2 linked regions of the Mus musculus genome follow. The protein of the gene in region 1 binds, or shares a complex with, the protein of each later gene. Links are inferred from orthologs where the notes say so. Each region holds a gene or a part of one and is shown on either strand. Other genes may lie near its edges.

Region 1 (4,457 bases):
ACACATAAGTCAGAACTGTTGGGCCCCATTTTGGCCCTGGTTTGGGCCTTGAGGACAAACTCGAATCTGGCTCGAGTTTCTGCGGCCTTGTGGGAGAGCCTAAGCCTGGCTCAAGTTTTGAGACCTGTCTCAGTCACTTCCATATTGGGGTGACTCAGCAAGACCTGTTTGGCCCTGCCTCTGCCCTGTCGTTGCTGATGTAGAGCTTTGCCATTGACCCTGTCAGTCACTACGCCATCTTACCCCACCAAAACCCGCCTCCCTATGTTCCAAACTTATATAAGCAAGAGGCTGACTCCATAAAGTTGAGTTCCTGCTTCAACAAGACTCCCAACTCTGTGTGTTTCTTTTGGGCCGTTGACACTCGCCATCCTGCTCAGCCCTGGAGAGACCCCAGAGGGACAGGGACCTCTCTCCTCTGTCCTGGACCTGTCAGCAAGGAGCAGGTACAGAACCTCCAACTCTCGATCAGGTCCCTCAATCTCACCTTGCACATCTCCCAGAAACATATGTTTTACTTTACCCTTCACCACTACCCCAATCTGTTATTGCGTTTCTAAAGAACATACCCTCTCAACAGCCCCCATTTGTCAAATACATTCACTGCACTGTACTACTTCATATATTCTTGAGGCGCCTACTCTGTACTCTGGAAATACTATGGTAAATACCAGACAAGGATCCATTGAAATCAAAGATAGCTGTTAAGACTATGTTGACAATTAAAATCAGGCAATGAAAGTAAGAACTATTGTAGACTAAGTTTTCAAATAAAAAAAAAAATCACCTGGAATTTCAACAAGGGATATGAAAGGCTCTGCTTGGTTTTGCCTTCCTGAGGGTGGGACCTAGCATCTCTACATGGTAGGCAAATGCTGTACCACTGAGGGATATGCCCAGTCCAAGATGAGTTCTGAAGTCAAACAACAAAAGAAATCCATTGAGGTGATGTCTTTTTTTCTATCAAAGCTTTCTAACACAAGAAATTGTTTCAGATGTTGGCTAAGAAAAATAGTAAGTAAAAAGCACATAAAAGTTTAAAAATTTTTTTCGGACATGAAAACAATTTTTAAAACGTTTTTCTGTATGGTTCCTCTCCCTAAAATGTCAATTCTTTAAAATATAACATCCCCAAAGTCTTTCTTTCTAGCATATCAATGCTGCCTTATTATTGAACTAGGTATATATAGCAGGCATGCAAATAAGTATCAGTTGAAATAATGCACAAATTTGTGTGCGAGGTGTGCGAGCAAGACAGAAAAAATAAAAGCGTTGGAGGGTCCAGGAAGCCTTTGTGGTAATGTTAGGGTCATTTGTTTCAACTCACGGGCTTAAGCTGAGTATAAAATCCTTGGTGAGGCTTCCTTGCTTGGCGCTCCCTCAAAGAGCTGTCAAAGTACACACAAGCTCTACCGCCACAAAGCTCTCCAACTCCCCGCTAGGAGGAGTCACACAGGACCCACCAACCTTCCCACTTCTTTGGTTCCGCCCCTCCCTAACAAAGTTCCGGCAGCCTTTGAATTGGGTTGCTGGGAACAGTAGTCTTCCGGTCAAGAGCTACACGGGTTGTGGCGCATTGCCAGAACTACGCTTCCCAGGGAGCCTCGCGGCAGAGGGAGGGTGGGTCACCTGACCGGGACTTCGGCGACGCTATGGCGGCGCCCATGCTGCGCTTGGGTTTCCCTGGAAGACGCTGGGCTTTAACATGGCTAGATGGCGGTTCCCGCCACCGAAGTGGCTCTCAGACTGGGCCCACATCCAACTGGGCTAGGAGACAGAGTTCAGTGGCTCAGCCTTCCCTCCACACGGCTCAGAAGCCGAGGAAAGGGTATATCTTCTTCGTACTTTTGCCTGTCTCGTGGAAGTGCAGAACGAAGATAATGGCCCCGGCAGCCCAGCCTGAGGGTTTTAGTGTGCTGGAGGGTGGTCACCTGTGTTATGGGCAACTGAACCTAAATGAAAACACAAAACCAGGCCTGCCACCTTCAGCCTCACACTTAAAACTTCTGTCTTAAAGTAGGCATATTTGGACAACGTGCGAATGTAAAATAGCGTTTCCTCCAGTCGTCTTCTCAGACAGAAGACTGGAATACTTTGCCCTACTAACTCGTGTGGGGTCTGCGACACTAGACTCTGGCTCGTATGTAGCGGGCATTTGGCGTCACTACAGGCTAGCAATAATTTAAAGACAGAAAATAGCCGTTGTACAAAGCCCCAGATAGGAGAGGTCTTATTAGTCAGAAAGCACTAGCTATCTGTGGTTTTATTGTGGGCATATTTGTCTAGACCCCAGGAGGATGTTAGTCGACTGACGAAATCTTTCCCCGATTATATAAAGAATTGCTTATGTTGTACAGCAGTTAGTTGCTTCCGTGTACATGATTTAAAGCTTCTTTTAAAATACAGCAACAAGGCAATTTTTAAAAAAGTTTTGTTTTGTTGAGGTTGGCATTCTTTTTAGCATTTCAGTGAAGAAGAGAAGAAAAATGTCCAAAATCATCACCTTTCTATTCTCTTCATAAACTAGACTATTTTCTTTCCACGAAATGAAACTGCAGAAATACTTCGATTAGCAATTAGAACATGCAGAATTTCTGAATTTCTTAGTTTATTTCCTCTCTCTTGAAAGCTTTATTATCAAATTTTAGAAAGAAGGAATTAATCTTTTCTCATTCCTTCATCTGTTGAACTGCTTAAAACAAAACTGAATGCACATGAATTAAAATCTGACTAATATAGAAAATGTCTAGGGAGAAGTGAAGACTAGGAACATACATAGGAATAGAGAATTTAATTCCCCAAAGAGAGTGGAGTACTGGCTCACCAGAGTAGGGCTGTTCAGATAAGAGACAGTATATCACTGTAAGCATTTACAAAGATTTGCTAGCAGTGAAGTATGAACAAATGAAAAAAATTTAAGTTTAGATCTCAAGAACTGGATGGGACTTGGTGGATGAAAACAAAGTTTCCTCTAATGGTTTTCTGTTCTTTTTCACGGGTTTTAAGGAATACCATATTGTGGTAGTCTATGGTATCTGATCCTGCTTCTGTAGCTACAAGCTCTTAACAATGAACTCAAAATATGGGCGATAATTTATTCTTTAGCCATCATTTCTCTAGAACTAGAATCCTGGCATTTGTATTAAACCCAAATAATGATAAGATAAGCTTTTATTATTTACTGAGTCATTTACTTAGTGTTTATTAACTAATAAGGTACATTTAGTTTATTCACCAATAAAATGACACATTTTAAAATATAAGCATATAAAATTTTAATTTAAAACACAAGATTATAATTGGAAATATAGGTTTATAAGAATTTATATTTAGCGACAAATGTAACGTTTTAACCATTTTCCTTCCCTTTAGTGAACACAAATGGGCAGCTGTAGTAGGACTGGAAATTCATGCACAGATTTCCTCCAACTCTAAACTCTTCTCTGGAGCTCAAGTGTGCTTTGCAGCACCTCCAAATTCTCTGGTTTCTTATTTTGATGCATCTCTGCCTGGAACATTACCGGTAAGGTGTTTTATACTGTCTGTTTACATTAGAAAATGTTTATGTCATAGTGAATATAGATAAGGAACTACTTGCTTAGGGAATTTTGCATGATTAGGGAATTAAGCATGATGCATTAATTGTTTATAAAGACATGTCTCTATAATTCTGTTTCTAAATCTGAGTGTATTCATAGCATCGATTCACTCCTTTCACAAATGCTTTCAAATGCCTATCAAATACCAGATGCTGATAAGAACTGTCTAATGCAGACAAGCAAAGATCTTGCTTTAGGAGGAGTTTAAAGGTGGACAGAGCTGATGTCTTACAAACAATTAGAGTACAATATGATAATTCTTGCAAAAGCAGTGTGCAAAGAGTAATTTTGGAACCCAAAGGAGGGACATGTAATTGAGCAAGAGGAAGTATTGTGAGAAATTGTAGTGGTGTATCTAGTTAAGGAGGAATGTCTGGAATAAAAACGTGGTGTCCACACTGAGAAGTCAAGTAGGAGTTAGACTGATACATGGAGGAGTGGGGAGGACCCAAGAAAAGAACATGTAGTATGTGATTTTACAGTGTAAGAGCAATGTGATCTCAGTTATTGACATCTAAGAAGCAGTCAGTAATGGAGCGCTATAGTATAAAAGCGAGTTGGTTATCGATTTAGCTACTTATTTTCACTTGATCCTAAGAGGCAACTGAGCCAGCATCACCATCAGCAAGACTTTTAGTGTGGTCTTTTTAAGGAATGAGTTACATTTTGAAGAATAAGATGGAAGGAGCACTGTAAATATTTGAGCTAGAATGTGGCTCCCATTCTGTTCAGGAATCTTATATTGTTAAATGGGAATGGAGTTTCCATCTTCAGGAGCATGTGTAGACAGGGTTATGATGATGAGTATATCACAGACAGGGACTGTTAGGAGTGTGTTCTGTATTCTCAGATGTTTAA
Region 2 (4,547 bases), on another chromosome or scaffold:
TGTGTGTGTGTGCACACGCGCAACAGTGCATATATGGGGATCTGGACAACTTGGAGGAGTCGGTTCTCTCCTTCCACCATGTGACGTGGGACTCGGGGTTTGAGCTACGATCATCAGGCTTGGCAGCAGGTGCCTTTATCCACAGAGCCATCTAGTTTTTGTTTTAATAAAGTGTTGAAGTATTTGGCTGCAGTGAGATGTTAGTGAAGCTGGTCTCTGGATTTGCTAAGACGGCAAAAGGGGTATTTAGGAGTTACTACATGGCCTGTCACAGCATTACTTGAGAGTTACAGGGTTGAGTCCCAGGTCCTGGCTTTTCTTGTGAAATTCTAAGCCTGCTTCTTGTATGAAACTGGCACTCTACCTCAGAAGTCATATAAGTTGTATAAGATAACTGGACACAAACTCCTAGCCCAAGGCACTGCCACACTAAGGCTTTGTAGATCAACCCAAATAATACATTGTAAATGTGTAGACAGACTTCTACTAGCCAGTCGGGGCTTTGGCTGCAATCATGGCTGTTGCCTAAGACTGCTGATCACCTATGGATCACTAGGATGTTTTGAGTTCAGACAAGCATTTAAAACACTCAAGTCACCAGGCGTGGTGGCGCACACCTTTAATCCCAGCACTCGGGAGGCAGAGGCAGGCGGATTTCTGAGTTCGAGGACAGCCTGGTCTACAAAGTGAGTTCCAGGACAGCCAGGGCTACACAGAGAAACCCTGTCTCCAAACAAACAAAAAACAAGTCAGGGGCTCAAGAGATGGCTCATGAGCTAAGAGCATTTAGCTATTACAGAGGGTCTGGGTTTCGTTCCTTGTACCAACATGGAAGTTCACACTTCCTGAAACTGCTCTGGGAGCTCTCACAGGCACCCCCTTCCAACCTGTGGATTCCTGCACACATAGGCATAGACTTGCAGGCACATACATTTAAAGATTAAAAGCACATTCAAGTCTGGCCTGAGATGCTGGGATTCATGAGGCCTATTTTTTTGAAGTCCTATAAATGTCATATTAAAATGACTTGTCGGGTTCATTAACCTAAAACGACATAATTTATGGTAAGAAATTCAGGCCACTGAATGACAAGCTCAAATTTGATCCACACCATGACAAAAATACTTCTTGTCTTTTTTTTTTGTTTGTTTGTTTTTGACTCCTCCCTTTGTAGCAACTGCATTTCTTTAGTTTCTCCTAGAAGACAGGAAATCCTGACTCTTGAAAAAAATTACAATTCTAAAATTTTGTATGTGGCAGAGGTATGTACTATAGTGTGCCTGGGGAGGTCAGAGGAAAACTTGTTAGAGTCTATTTTCTGCCTCCACCATGTGGGTCTTAAGGAGCAGACTAAGATCATCAGAATTGGTAGCAATTGCCCTTACCCGCTGAACCCACTACCACCACCACCACTGCTGGCTCTTTAATTCTATTCTCTCCCCCAAATAAATTAATGAGATGTTTATTTGAGCATTTCCCAAGTATTTACTCAGTGCTAGACAAAAGAAAAAAAAATCCAAACATGATTCATGCTATTTGGATAAACAGAAGGGGGAAGGCAGAGAACTAACATTTAAGTAGATATGCTGTGATTAGCAGCGCTTTTGAATACCAGTAGAACCATATATTTTTTACTGTATAAAGGAATAAAAGAATTAATGGCAGTCGACAACTTAAGAGAGGAGAAGTAGGTGGGATAAGGAGCTGGTAAAAAGCAAGGACTGAAAATTGTGGGGAAAAAAGTAACAGGGAGGGAGAAGTCAAGAAGCTGAAAGAACTTGACAGTGTTAGCTTGGAGAGATGGGGAGGGGCTGTGACAGCCGAGGACCTGAGGACCTGAAGACCACGAGCACGTGTCGTGAAGATCTTGGGTGGGAAAATGACATCAGGTATCTGATGTGAATTACTGGGTAATATTAGGCAAATAGTGTTAACCTCTCTGGATCTGAGCATCAGATCAAAGACCCGAAGGTGAGAAGGACAGGAGACTAACAAGATTTAAACTTTGCAAAGCATTTCAGTGACTTCATGAAACCAATGCAATGGGTGGTAACACAGCAAGATAACCTTGGGTTCAAAGCCATTCCGCGAAATTTTAGCCAGATTCTGTCTTAAAAAAAAAAAAAAAGCCATAACTTGTTATTTGGATATCTCGTAATTAGCATATGAACTGACTTGAGGTTATACATATAAATAGTGTTTGACTTCTTCAGATATTTAATCAGATGCTCAGGAAGGCAAGTGAAAACACTTTAAGGAAATAAACCTGGTTTGTAAGCCAGTCTAGGCTGGAGGGTACTGAGGGGACAGCACCCCCGAGAGGGCGGGTAAAGGGCTCTTTGAAGTAAGGGATTCTCGGACTTGGTTCCTATTTACATCGAGACTGAGAAGACTAGAGGGTTGTAAACGAGAGTGACAGGATCAATAATGAACTAGGGGAAGAGTGAAGCCATCCTCGCGGAGACTGGACAAATTTCCAATTATGCAAAGGACCTGAAACAGCCTCAAAGGTCCGAGACCGCAGCCGGGAGTTTACCTGTCCTCCAGTACCGACTCTAGGGGCTCCACACCGTCAGTGTCCACGGCGTGCAGCTGATCCGCAAAGGCGATGGCTTTCTCTAGCCGGTCCACCGCCTCGCGGCTGCCGAAGTTCACCAGCGCCAGTCGCTCCAGATGCTCGATTACCGCGGGGGACACGCGACCGCTGCCCTGGGGGACGAGACGTGGAGCCTGGGTCCCCAGCCCCGCCGCCTGGACCTTTCCCTGTGGATTCGCTTTGGAAGCAAAGCTTCGGCCCGCGTCCAGCGGGGCCCGAAATCGCACACTCGCGGCCCGTGACCACATTTCTTTTGCTTCTCGGCCCCCGTAGGGACAGACGGTAGGGCGGCGCGCGCGCGGGGTGGGGGTGAGGGGGTGTGTGACGACATCAGAATGCGTCGCCGTCACCGCAGCTGCCATCACCGCCATGAACAGCGTCGGGGAGGCTTGCACTGACATGAAGCGCGAGTACGACCAGTGCTTCAACCGCTGGTTTGCTGAGAAGTTCCTCAAAGGGGACGGCTCCGGGGACCCGTGCACCGACCTCTTCAAACGCTACCAGCAGTGCGTGCAGGTGAGTCTCGCCCGGCCTCGCCGCAGCAGCCTGCCCTCCTCGGCCATCCCCCGAAACCGCCAGGCTGTCTCCACTTGACACACCGGGATGCCTTTGCGGTACTTTGCTTTATACAGAGTACATTAGTATTTTGTTGTTATTGCTCATTTATTTGGGATTCATTCCAAACGTGCAAGTAGCTATCATCCGTATCTTTAAAAAATTGGCGTGGCCGGGCGGAGGTGGCGCACACCTTTAATGTCCTAGCGCACGGGAGGCAGGGGCAGGCGGATCTCTGAGCTCGGGGCCAGCCTGGTCTACAGAGTGAGTTCCAGGACAGCCAGGGATATACAGAAAAACCCGGTCTCCAGAAAAAAAAAAAAAAATGTGTTCGCGTCTGCAATAAGGGTGGAGACAACTTCCGGGAGTCAGATTACTCCTTTCACATTTATATGGGTTCTGGGAATAAAGTTCAGGTCACTAGTCTTGGTGACAAGGCGTTCTATTATCTATCTATCTATCTATCTATTTTTTTCTATTATCTATATTTTACACATGGAAAAACTAGCAGTCAGAAATAGGAAGTGAATGGTTCAAAGGAACTAGAGTCTGATGACCTTGCTTATTTTGGTGGTGCGTCATTTCATTGTTATTAGGAGTGGATGGTGTTCACAGTTTTCTAGACCTAAGGTAAGGCATTGCAGAGGTCGCCTGTTTTGTTGCGATCTTTTCATTGCTCTGTTTTCCTCCGCCAATTACCTGTTGTAGCCAGTAAGATTTGATTTCAGACCAGCACTTCAAACTTAACCTAAAACTACCTCTCCATTCCAGAAGCTACCTTTAGTCAGTTCTCAGACAGGGATGGTAACTCAAGGTCACAGAGCCGATTCGGAGTGAACACTGTCACTAAGATAGAGATAGGCACCTGAACTGACCTTCAGGCCTCACCTCCCAAGAGCAGGTGTTCATACCACACAGGACTTACATTACAGTCTGTACAGTGGCACTGTTTTGTTAAAACAGGACTAAGCCGTACTCACTTTTAATCCTAGGATTCAGAGGCAGGCAGGGTGTGTGGGTCCCAGAATAGCCAGGGTTACAGAATGAGACCTTGCCTCAAAAAAAGGGTGCCCAGCTGGGCAGTGGTGGTGCATGCCTTGAATGGTGGGTTTCAAGCCCGTCCAGTTCAGTCTGGTTTACCTCTGTACCATTACACCTGTCACAAAACATGGACTGCAAGCTATCATGGACTGATAGTGCATTTTCTTCCTCCTTTAGAAAGCAATCAAGGAGAAAGAGATTCCTATTGAAGGCCTGGAGTTCATGGGCCATGGCAAAGAAAAGCCTGAAAACTCCTCTTGACCTGCCTGCCACTTGGAAGACATCAGTAAAGTGAGAGGCTTCTGGATTCTGTCAGGGAAGGCTGTGAAGCTGGCATGGGATTCCAAGATGTTAA

The links.
Region 2: Gatb (region 1) and Gatc share a complex: the UniProt entries of both Homo sapiens proteins name them as parts of the heterotrimeric GatCAB amidotransferase (AdT) complex. The link is inferred for Mus musculus from reciprocal best matches to the Homo sapiens genes GATB and GATC.

What each region holds. Positions count from the first base shown.
Region 1 is NC_000069.6:85,572,492-85,576,948, forward strand, and holds the start of Gatb (glutamyl-tRNA(Gln) amidotransferase subunit B, mitochondrial precursor), read left to right. Parts: upstream 1-1,637; 5' UTR 1,638-1,652; coding exon 1,653-1,828; intron 1,829-3,372; coding exon 3,373-3,523; intron 3,524-3,529; exon of another isoform or gene 3,530-4,457. UniProt on the Homo sapiens protein: Allows the formation of correctly charged Gln-tRNA(Gln) through the transamidation of misacylated Glu-tRNA(Gln) in the mitochondria. The reaction takes place in the presence of glutamine and ATP through an activated gamma-phospho-Glu-tRNA(Gln).
Region 2 is NC_000071.6:115,338,306-115,342,852, forward strand, and holds the start of Gatc (glutamyl-tRNA(Gln) amidotransferase subunit C, mitochondrial), read right to left. Parts: upstream 2,857-4,547; 5' UTR 2,845-2,856; coding exon 2,537-2,844; intron 1-2,536. Other genes in the region: Triap1 (TP53-regulated inhibitor of apoptosis 1), read left to right, coding at 2,966-3,112, 4,370-4,453. UniProt on the Homo sapiens protein: Allows the formation of correctly charged Gln-tRNA(Gln) through the transamidation of misacylated Glu-tRNA(Gln) in the mitochondria. The reaction takes place in the presence of glutamine and ATP through an activated gamma-phospho-Glu-tRNA(Gln).